Linked DNA regions of Solanum lycopersicum. The protein of the gene in region 1 binds, or shares a complex with, the protein of each later gene. Links are inferred from orthologs where the notes say so. Each region holds a gene or a part of one and is shown on either strand. Other genes may lie near its edges. The genes, in order: small ribosomal subunit protein cS23-like, 30S ribosomal protein S13 and small ribosomal subunit protein bTHXc.

Region 1 (3,759 bases):
AATTCTATTGTATCATATTGTTTAAATCCATTGTTAGATAACGATGAAAAACCTCATTTTATATAACAACCTATTTGGTATGATTGCGTCGTTACCTTAACATTTTCTTCTCATTTTGTCTTCATTTATCATTTAATAATCATAGTTCATTTTTTATCTACTTTTTCACAATAGCTCTAACCTTACCTATTCTCCTTGTAGCTTTATTATTCAAATCATGGATGTACAAAATCATGTAACGAACAAGAACAACACAATCTATCCAAATATTAAATTCATTAAGAATACAACAAAATACAATACAGCAGAGCCAGAATTTTCAGTAAGTGGATTCAAAATACTAATTAGCAGAAGAGGTCGAAGAGGGTTTGACATCTACTATATGTAACTAAAAACTATTTTAACCATGTATAAATAATATAATTTTCCGCCGAACGAGGTTGGGATGAACCTAACTATAAGGTGGCTCTGCCATTGAATACGATACATTATGTGACAATACATAACAATTATTCAAACAAAGTGGAAGACTTCAAAGGATTATTGAACATTTTATCTACAAGTGTATTGTCTCTATGAAGTAGAGAGACCAGCAACAGAATCTAATGGTATATCTCTAAATCTGAACCAATCAATAACATGAAAACTGAATTGGACAACTTACCTGGTGATTGATGTCTCTAACGAAGAAGAAGAAACTCCAATTAGAAGGATATTGAATGAGAAGGAAAAATGAAAAAAATTGAAGTGAATTTAAAGCCAAAAAAGAAAGGGTTATTGAAGATTTACGTGTTTCACGGGTTGACCCGTTTTAAAGGACTGTTTGGTGTGGCTGCTTGTTAGAGTCGCGCTGGCTTTCACGGTTTTCTTTTGGGTTAGTTTACTCCAAAACTACACTTTTTGACCATTTTGTATTTGGCCTCCTCTTTTCTTTTTTTTCCTCTTTATTCGATTCGAGTTAATTATTCTAACATATTTTATGTTATTGCGATTCATAGATGATATTGATATACATTATAATATTATGATATATTGATTTATTTTACGAGTTTTGATCACTTTATCAAAAAAGAAAGACTTCATTTTAAAGGGAGTGAAGGGTATTTAAAAGTGGAGTCGTAAATATTCTAGGTCCCTTCTTAGCCGCTGAATCACTATAATTTCTGGTTTCGTTAAACCTTTTACCATCCATTGTATCACAATCATCTTAAGGATAGAGAACCAAGTTTATTTTTTTCTTTGAATAAAATGTCCAGACATAGAATAATCATTTGAGTAAGCATTGTTGTTACAATATAATCTCATTGTTAGAAATATATCCTATCTAAAATTATCCAAAAATTGTACTCCAATCCACAAATAACATATAATTCAGAAATTTTAGGCTATTGTTGCAATTATATCGGCCTAAATTAGCCTGAAATTAGTCCAAATAATTAAACAATAACCTAAAGTATAGTCCCAACACTAAAGTTTGCTAAGTTAATTTTTGGTGGATATTCGATAGTTTATAAAGTTTAGTATCATGATCCGTCACTTTTAAAGTCGAAATCCGTGATATTAGGCTATCATTTAAATAGATTTACCCAACCCCAAAAAATCCGGGTCGGGTTATATTGTGTCGGATCTTTTTTTCTTATCTAGACTTTGATGAAGAACACAACACAATGACAGAGAAGCTCTGAGTTTCCCCTTAGCTGTTGAAAATGATGTTATCAATGGCTACACAGCTTACTGTGAATTGGGTTCCTGCGTTTTCTTCTCAAAACCAATTTTTTTCACCCAAATTTGTCTTCTTTACAAAGGGGCAGTCTTTTTCTCGACGTTCTAATGTCTCAGCAATCGTACCCAGAAGAAATCTTGGGGGTTTTGCTACTTCAGCTGCGGCTGCCTTGAGTTTTGCTGAAGAAACATCGACCCGTGATTCTATTTCCTCAGATTCTCTTCAAAAAGAGGTAATTTTCACTCTCTGACTTCCCTCTTAGGTGTTGTTTGGTAGAGTGTGTATAAGTATCAGTAATGCTGCGATTATTTCCTATCCATTGTTTGGTTTCTGTTTGTTAACCAACCAACACCTGCACAACTGGCCCTTGTTTTCGGGGGCGAGCTTAGTGCACCAGGCTGTGGACAGTACATGGTCCAGAGGGAGCTTAGTGCATCGCGCTGCCCGTTATAATCCTTTAGTTTTTTGTTGAATTGTGGGAAGTGAACCATCCTCTTAATGTTAAAAGATTTTGCATCCAAGGGTGTGTCTTAATTGTCAATAGAACTAGAATGAAAAAGATTACAATGGAAGACCATGTAATAATCCACCAGAGGCACTATGAAGAATAATATGTAGTTTCTTCCGATTTGGGGATCGCCTGGAAATTGGAATACTAATTTTAAAAAAGAAAAGTTGTAAGCTTAGGAATAATGGGGCAGATTTATTTATAGGAAAAGGGCCAATTTTTCTCTTGAACTATTTGAAATAAGATTACTTTGTTGTCCGTTTCGGTTTTTGGCACAAAAATACCTTTGCCATTAGCTGGCTTGATAAATCACATTCTTACTATGCTATCATCTTTTAAGTTGATCAAAGTGTAAGTTTGTATTCAGTTATATCATAACATTCAATCTCTCCGTACTAGCGTAAAGTAGATATTCGAGTTAACTTTATACTATGGGAACGTTATTAGTATCTTTTTTCAGTTGACAGGAAAAAGGTCTTTCTCGTAAAAGATAGCATTAATTTGTGAAGATTTGCTATCAAGAACAAGTTCTTAATACCTAATCAATATTCATTAATGACCAAGCAAATAAATTTGTTTTCGTTAGGGATGATATATAAAATGTTAAACATGACCAGATGCCTCATTGGTTCCAAAATTTTGTGGGTGATATTGACTTTGTTTAAGGACTGGAGGATAACTTTGTCCCTTTTCCATCTGAGTGGGACAACCGTTAGTGAGTAGGGAAATTTTGAGCCACTTGGCTAACAGCGATGGCATTTTTGTTTCATAAAACGAAATGGAGGACATAATTGTCCTATTTCAAAAATTTAAAAAGCAAAATTGGTCTTTTATCTTTATTTTTATTATGTCTGAAAGGCTGCAACAGATCTCCACGGGTTTGATTAGTTTTCTTTTCCGATTCTTTTTTCTTGAACCAAGTTGATGGATGACGGTTCAAACCAGTGCATCTGTCGTTTTAATACGATGTTGGGTGAATGTCTCATTTAGTTGTTTAACCTGTTAAAAAAAATTGTTTTTATTTATTTTGTTATGTATGCAACACGTCTCCTCGGCTCTGTTTCTTTCTTGGACCAAATTGATGGCTGGTTCTTCGTACCAATGCATCTGTGTACTTTAATACTATGCTGCGTGAATGTCTCAAGACATTTATAAGTTCAATGGTTAGAGACGAACTGCTTTGATTTACATAGTTATGTCTGCAATATCTTTATTTTGGTGTTTGATTCTCATTTTATTTAGTTTTTTAAGAATTTCATAATATTTGCACCATTTTCATTATGGTGTTTGGCTCTTACAATCTGCTGGATGTACAGAAGCTCGGTGTGTTGGTCAAGCCACTGGAGAAACCTAGGCTAGTGTTGAAGTTTATTTGGATGGAGAAGAACATCGGAATTTCACTAGACCAGGTAATTCCTGGTCATGGCACGATTCCGTTGAGCCCCTACTATTTTTGGCCTAGAAAAGATGCTTGGGAGGAACTTAAAGTCATGCTCGAGAGTAAACCATGGATATCCCAGAAACAGGC
Region 2 (3,292 bases), on another chromosome or scaffold:
CTAGTGTGAGGTAACAAGTAAGTAGTGAAATACGTGTAAATTGATCTGAACATCATCACTATTGAAAAACAGAAGTCATGGTCTTCAAGAAACCTGAGAAAAGTGAACCTTCTTGAGTACTAAAGGGGTGGGACTTAACTTTCATGCTCATGCATGTGACAAAAAGGTGCCACAAACTCTATGCTTTTAGTTAATTCTCAAAATGACCTAACGAGTCATTACATTAACAATGCTATGACTCAAATTGTAAAACTTTGGTATCACATTAATGCAAATACTTGGCCCAAACACATTACTGAACTTGAAGCTTAAACCAAGGCTCATAGATAGGGACTGCACTTCATAGGTCGTTACATCAACAATTATTATGACACCTAACGTAACTTAACAAACCTTTCTCCTGTCAACCAAATCATCCAATCAGAATAACGTAAATTCGCAATTACTCCACATGAAACACATTTAACAAGATTTAAGGAAGAGATTATGCCTAAGCATCAACATTCTTCTTGAAAAGCTCTTATCTTGAAATGTAGAAAAATGATTTCAATGGAAAAAACTGTTTATAACAAACAAATGCACAGTTTGCCATAGGAATATAGAGTGTAACTTTTACAAGTTAGTTACCAAAAGAAATGAAAAATCGATCTTGATTTAACGAGGTGCCTTCTTCTTCCCTGCAATTGCTACTTTCTTGCCCTTCAAAGTACGGCAATTGTTCTTTGTTCGTTGTCCTCTGCAAGGCAATCCTTGGATGTGCCTTACTCCTCTATAGCACTGAATCTCCTTCAACCTCCTAATGGCAAGAGCATTGAATCTCCTCTGATGCCAACACCACAAGTATGTAATCAATTTTCCCGTTTCAAATAGGAAGCCGAAGCATCAATCAAACAAACAACCTTATACACAAGAATCTCAATCAACATTGCCAATTGCTAAACAAGCTATCGATTTCTTCTGAAATACATTTCCATAAGAACTGTTTAATTTGGGATAAGGCTGTGATGCATATAGAAGCCATGATCCTACATACCCACCTAACAATAACTCCCCTTGTTTCGATTTGTTTGTCCGGATTTGACTTGACACAAAGTTTAAGAAAGTAAAGAAGATTTTTCGATCTTCTGGTTTTAATCTCAAGATATGTAGAATGCAGTTTCAGCTCAAATATGGTTCTTTCCATGTAAAAGTTGGACCAAAGATTGGTTTAAGATATTGTTTTTTTGGTTCAATTCCTATCTTGAGACAAAATGAATTAAATTTCTTAGAACCCCAAATGGCATTAAGTTAAACTATAGAGCTAAAATAAACAGCAACCACAGCAAAGTTACATGAACTAGATATCGAAATCAAATTACCTAAGCATATAAGTTTCAATAAGGATATGCACATTGGAACGAAAACAAATGAGTACAAATTAGAGCAATGAAACTCACAAGGTCTCCTTCAATCATGTACTTAGAGACTTCTTCACGAAGAGTGATAAGTTCCTCTTCCGACATGTCTTTCATCACTTTGTTCTCCATTTGAAGGTCTACCAGAATCTGGCGTGCAGTGGTGCGGCCAATTCCATGAATGTATTGCAAAGAGAACTCAACTCTTTTGTTGTTTGGAACTTCCACTCCTCCCACACGCACACACTTTATAACCAAACCTGCAGTCTACACAAAACTCATTTCAGTTCAAACTCAAAATCATGGAAAATTTAGCAAAACCCAATTTAATTCCAACTCAAAAAAGTCCAAAAATATGAAAAATAAGCAAACCTCAATTCAATCCCACCTCAAAAAAACGGAAACTTTAGCAAAAAAAACTCATGTTGGGTTACTGAGAAAATTTCGAAAAATCCAAAAACTCATTCCAATTCCTACTCAGGTAAAAAAAAAAGTAATCTTTAGCAAAACCCATGTTTGGTTACTGAGAAAATTGCGAGAAAAAAAAAGACAAACCCCATTCCAATTCCTACACGAAAAAGGTCAAAAAATGTAAACTTCAGCAAACTCCATGTTTGATTACTGCAAATTTCAAGAGAAGGGAGTGAAGTGTACCTTTGGAAAAGATGTGGGAGTAGAAAAAGAGAGGGAACTGTGCTTGGAGATGGAAGATGTGTTGCAGATAAGGGAAAGAGAAGGAAGTACAGGAGTTGCTAGTGTTTGCGCCATTGTTGAAAATCTTGATTGATGAAGAAATTGAAGAAGGAAGAAGATAGAGCCTTTTGCTGGTCTATTTTTCTTATCCTATTGGGGAAAATTGGATAGGGAATGGAGTTCTTCTTTTCGACCTGGTTTGCTAATATGGAGCCCCGGTTGTTCTTTTTTTTTTTTTTTTAAATTTTATTTTATTAATATGGTATTCGGGCTAGTTTTCATGCACTCGACTAAATTCACCGATGTCTATCATACTGTCACCTCCCAATAAGGATGTGGAAAAATCGAATCGATCAATAAACCTATTAAAAAAATGTTATTGGGTTATTGAATTATTGAGTTAATGGATTTTTAACGGATCTATAAAGGGTTTTTGATTAGGTATCAATTTTTAGTATTTGGTTATTGGATGAATCGATAACTCATTAAGACGATAGTAATTTATTACTATGCACTTTATAAATATTATTAATAATTTAACATAACTAGACATTATATCAGTACTCTACACATTTTACACGTCACATTACTTCTATTTTACATCTGAAATTTCATATTATGTTTTGGTTGTAACATGTAATTGTAGCCTTCGTATTACATCTAATTGAAATGAAGAAAATATTAGCTTTACAAAGAAATCTCTACATTTCATTTCTGATATCGCTCTTTTTATCTAAGGCCTAACCTAAATTTGGGGCGATAGAAATGCGAGTTGAAAATAAATTTACATGATCACTTACCAATTGAATAAAAAGAAAATTGATCTTTTAAAATTTTGTAGGCATAAAAATAAAGATCTCTCATGGGCAACAATAAAAAATTCTTATAAACAACATAAGATTAGAAGTGGTTATAAAATAATAAAGCAAGAACAAGAAGAATATTTTAGAGAAAATTAGAGAGAACCTATTTTTAAAGTAAAGAATTTTATAAATTTTAATACTCCATTAATTTAGTAATTTTAATATTATAAGATTATAACTAATAAATTTCATGACTTACTAATCCTATAAATTACATCTTAATGGGTACTTCAAACGATTCTTATGAGTTGTGAGTAATTTACTTTATAAATTCCTAAAAATAAAACACCTTCCAATTGCAAAATCCTACGAATTTGCTAGCAATAACTAATAACTGTTTAT
Region 3 (3,563 bases), on another chromosome or scaffold:
GATGTACATATGCCAATTTCTTGTGGAACACGGGTGGCGAGGAAACTTGTTTCCTTCCAAGTAGTACTTCTTCTATCAATAACAAGAAGGGTGAAGAAGTTTAGTCGTAACAGAGAAAAATTGTTCAAGAAATGCATCAAACTAAGGAGAAAAATGGTGAGATTCCCTTATGCTTCTGGTAATTTTAACTACAGAGTGGAGAAGAAGTTCCTCAAGACGTCGATTTAAATCACATATTTGAATAAATACTAACGTGAATGATCGATCTATTGTGTTTTTTTTCTGTAGGGAAATGGCTATATTATTTGTTCTTGATTTTCTGTGTCTAGATTGAGTAGAGTGATTTGCATGGGAGCTGTTCACCACCACCAACAACAACATCTACGGTTCAGTACCAAACAAGTTGAGGTCGACTATATGAATCTGTACTGTCATAGTTCGAGGTCAATTTTGTGGTCGATAATAAGTGAATTGAGTTCTCAAATTTTTGTAGAGTAGGGTATTTCATCTTTTGACTGACTTGTTATTAATATATTTTTGTATTTTTGAGTGAGTTTGGTAAAAAAAAAATTATAATCAATTGGGAATGTCTTGTATGATTAATCATTGTGTTACTTCCTACATTGTATATCAACGTACATTTTTTTCTTTTTTCTTGTCTTTTAAGAAATATTAAAAATATTTATTTTTTTACTAATTTACTGTTATAATTATTTTTCATAAATTCTATTTTTTGTGTCTTTATCTGTTAATAACAAAAGAGGAACTTTACAATATTTATATTTTTAATCAAAAAGAGTCGATTTAAGGTGCAAAATGGAAAAAAATAGAATTAATTTTTTAATTTGACAAGTAATTTTGAATAAATATCTTTGTTAATGTAGACAAGTAGTCTGTCATAGAGGTGTACTATTATCTCATTACTTCTCTTAATTATTATATATGTTAAAATTTCTTTATGTATGTGATGAAATCTAACTATATTTATACTCCCTCCGTCTCATTTTGCAATTTATTTGTCTATTTTCACACATAAAAAAAGATAATTTTTTTTCTTATTATATTCTTATTTAAGCTTCCTGAAAATTTTTAAGTTTTAATTCATCTTTTTCGAAATCATAATTAATAAGGGCAAAATTGTAACTTCACTATTCTAATTATTGCTATATTAATATGTTTGTCATTTCTAAAATGGACAACTAAATAGGAACAGATAGAGTTTGAGATAACACTATTATTCCTTATTTCTCGTTCCAAACAATCCTTTTCAGGTCTCAGTTTATTGCTTGATATACTTTTACATAAAAAATAATTGATCTTCTGATAACTTGAATTCACAATTTTAAAGTTTAAAATGAATGGTATTTACCATCCAAGTAACTCTTAACGTTTTTTTTTTTAAAAAAAAAAAACAAGGAAAAATAAGTGAATTTTACCTTAATTCAGGGGTATTTGAATAAAAAAAAGACAAAGGGCACATTATCTAGAAACAGAATAAGAAGCTATAGAACCACCACAAATAAAATCTCAATTCTATCAGTTGAGCTGCTGCAATGGCGTCGTTGTTAGTTGGTTCAGTTCCTATGAGTACTGTTCAATCCATGGCTTCTCTTTCTCCTAATTTATCATTCTCTCGTTCTCACTCCGTCGCCGGCAGCGTTTCAATTACGGCGGCATCTCCTTCACCATCAATTTCGTTTTCGTCTCTCACTGATTCAAATCTCCCATTGGGTACGAATCACATACCTTTTCGAATTTATTGTTTGTGAAAATTTTGTGATGATTGAAGTTTCAGTTCGAGAAATTGAAATTTTGATTTGATTTCATTTTCAGTTTACTGCGGTAGAGGTGATAAGAAGACGGCGAAAGGCAAGCGGTTCAATCACTCCTTTGGCAATGTGAGTTTGTATATTTTGGTTTATTGCAGGATAAGACCTCCTTAATATGATTTAGTTTCAGATACACCCCTGTATATTTTATAAACAAACACTTACCTCCTCTATATTAGGAGAATCCTACACTAACATTCTAGTTTGATACGTGGAATAAGAATAATAATCTCGAAATAGAATTTGAGATTAAATTTATTGCATATTTGAGTTAAAGGTATTGGCTTAAAATAACGAGTGTATCGAAGATGAATAAATAATTCCATGAGATATTTAATGTATTTATGCCTTTAAATTTTAGAAAAGAGAAGTATGTGTTTTGTTGAAATTGATAAATAAGATATCAACACAAATTACTTAATATGAATAATTTTTTAACTCATATTTGATTAAATGAATGTTAATTCCATATAAAATGATTTATAGATTCACTTGGAATAAGATTATTGGTGCATAAGGTTTTGCATAATTAATGCAGGAGTTTAATGCTTTTAATATTATAGAATTTTATACTGAGATTCAATTGTTCATACATTTAGACGAATTGACCCCTAAAAAGTTTTGAAGTTTATTTTTGATTGCAACCTAGATGCATCTCGACTAATTTTATCAATAGATGGGATAAATTACCTAGTGTTATTTTGTCTCTGATAGAATTTGAACCTGAAACCTCATGATTCTCGACCCTCTTCGTTAACCACCAATGTTGATGATAGATTCAAAATAGTCTGTTAAATATGCTCTAACCAATTTTTAGTACTTTGAAGTTTAGAGTGTTATCATCATACGTTTAACAATTTATGTTCGTTAGATTTGACAGAAATAGTGAAAAAACAACAGTTGTTTCGACATTTTTTGTTGTTATTTTGAACTGATTCCGATGGTATGAATTGGTTTAGGCAAGGCCAAGGAACAAGAAGAAGGGAAGAGGACCACCTAGGGTTGCAGCACCACCAGCAGCACCAAAGAGAGATCCATTTGATGATGGCCAAGTCGTTAAAATTGAAATACATGACCCATAGTTTTCTCGGAGGAGCAATTTCATTTTTATGTAGCTCTAATCTTCTACTACTTTGTTTATTTCATTGAAATATCGATTAAGTTAATCATTTGGACTGAGATTTCTAGTTTGCTTGAAGGGTCTTCGTTTAAATGCTCTTGTGTCCTGTTAAATTATGCATTTTGGTTCTAGCAACCTTCAGTAGACAAGTGGTAATAGTCACTACTTTAGCTATTGAGAAAAGTGAAAAGCTTAGAGAACCCCACATTCCTTATGGGTTGAAAACCACGAGGTTTTAGGTTCATATACTAGCGGAGACAAACACATTAGGAGGTCTTTTTGTAGAGTGTATAAGAATAGTAATATATAGTGTATTACTAATGCTGGGATTAGTTATGTTGGAGCTATTTCCTACCCACTATTTGGTTTGATATATTATCAAGGGCACTTTGGCCTCGAACAAAGAAAGGATCAAAAAATGTCATAGCTAATACATCCTACCAAATGACCCCTAGGTGGTTCTTATTTAGACCTTCGTGGATAGAATTACTCCATATCTGTGCTGGTTGGAGGTAACCTTTACCTCGAAGAATTAGTCAAGATGTGAGTGAGCAAATCCAGTCACAAAAAAACTTCTTTTGTTTGGGTCACCAAGTTTGTCTGCGTCCACTATA

The links.
Region 2: small ribosomal subunit protein cS23-like (region 1) and 30S ribosomal protein S13 share a complex: the UniProt entries of both Arabidopsis thaliana proteins name them as parts of the 30S ribosomal subunit. The link is inferred for Solanum lycopersicum from reciprocal best matches to the Arabidopsis thaliana genes PSRP3/2 and EMB3137.
Region 3: small ribosomal subunit protein cS23-like (region 1) and small ribosomal subunit protein bTHXc share a complex: the UniProt entries of both Arabidopsis thaliana proteins name them as parts of the 30S ribosomal subunit. The link is inferred for Solanum lycopersicum from reciprocal best matches to the Arabidopsis thaliana genes PSRP3/2 and PSRP4.

The regions. Positions count from the first base shown.
Region 1 is NC_090802.1:7,166,126-7,169,884, forward strand, and holds the start of small ribosomal subunit protein cS23-like, read left to right. Parts: upstream 1-1,599; 5' UTR 1,600-1,706; coding exon 1,707-1,955; intron 1,956-3,547; coding exon 3,548-3,759. UniProt on the Arabidopsis thaliana protein: Component of the chloroplast ribosome (chloro-ribosome), a dedicated translation machinery responsible for the synthesis of chloroplast genome-encoded proteins, including proteins of the transcription and translation machinery and components of the photosynthetic apparatus.
Region 2 is NC_090804.1:939,823-943,114, reverse strand, and holds 30S ribosomal protein S13, read right to left. Parts: upstream 2,242-3,292; 5' UTR 2,163-2,241; coding exon 2,049-2,162; intron 1,662-2,048; coding exon 1,437-1,661; intron 823-1,436; coding exon 655-822; 3' UTR 545-654; downstream 1-544. UniProt on the Arabidopsis thaliana protein: Located at the top of the head of the 30S subunit, it contacts several helices of the 16S rRNA.
Region 3 is NC_090804.1:66,172,028-66,175,590, forward strand, and holds small ribosomal subunit protein bTHXc, read left to right. Parts: upstream 1-1,330; 5' UTR 1,331-1,553; coding exon 1,554-1,731; intron 1,732-1,833; coding exon 1,834-1,898; intron 1,899-2,788; coding exon 2,789-2,911; 3' UTR 2,912-3,042; downstream 3,043-3,563. Other genes in the region: uncharacterized protein, read left to right, coding at 1-104.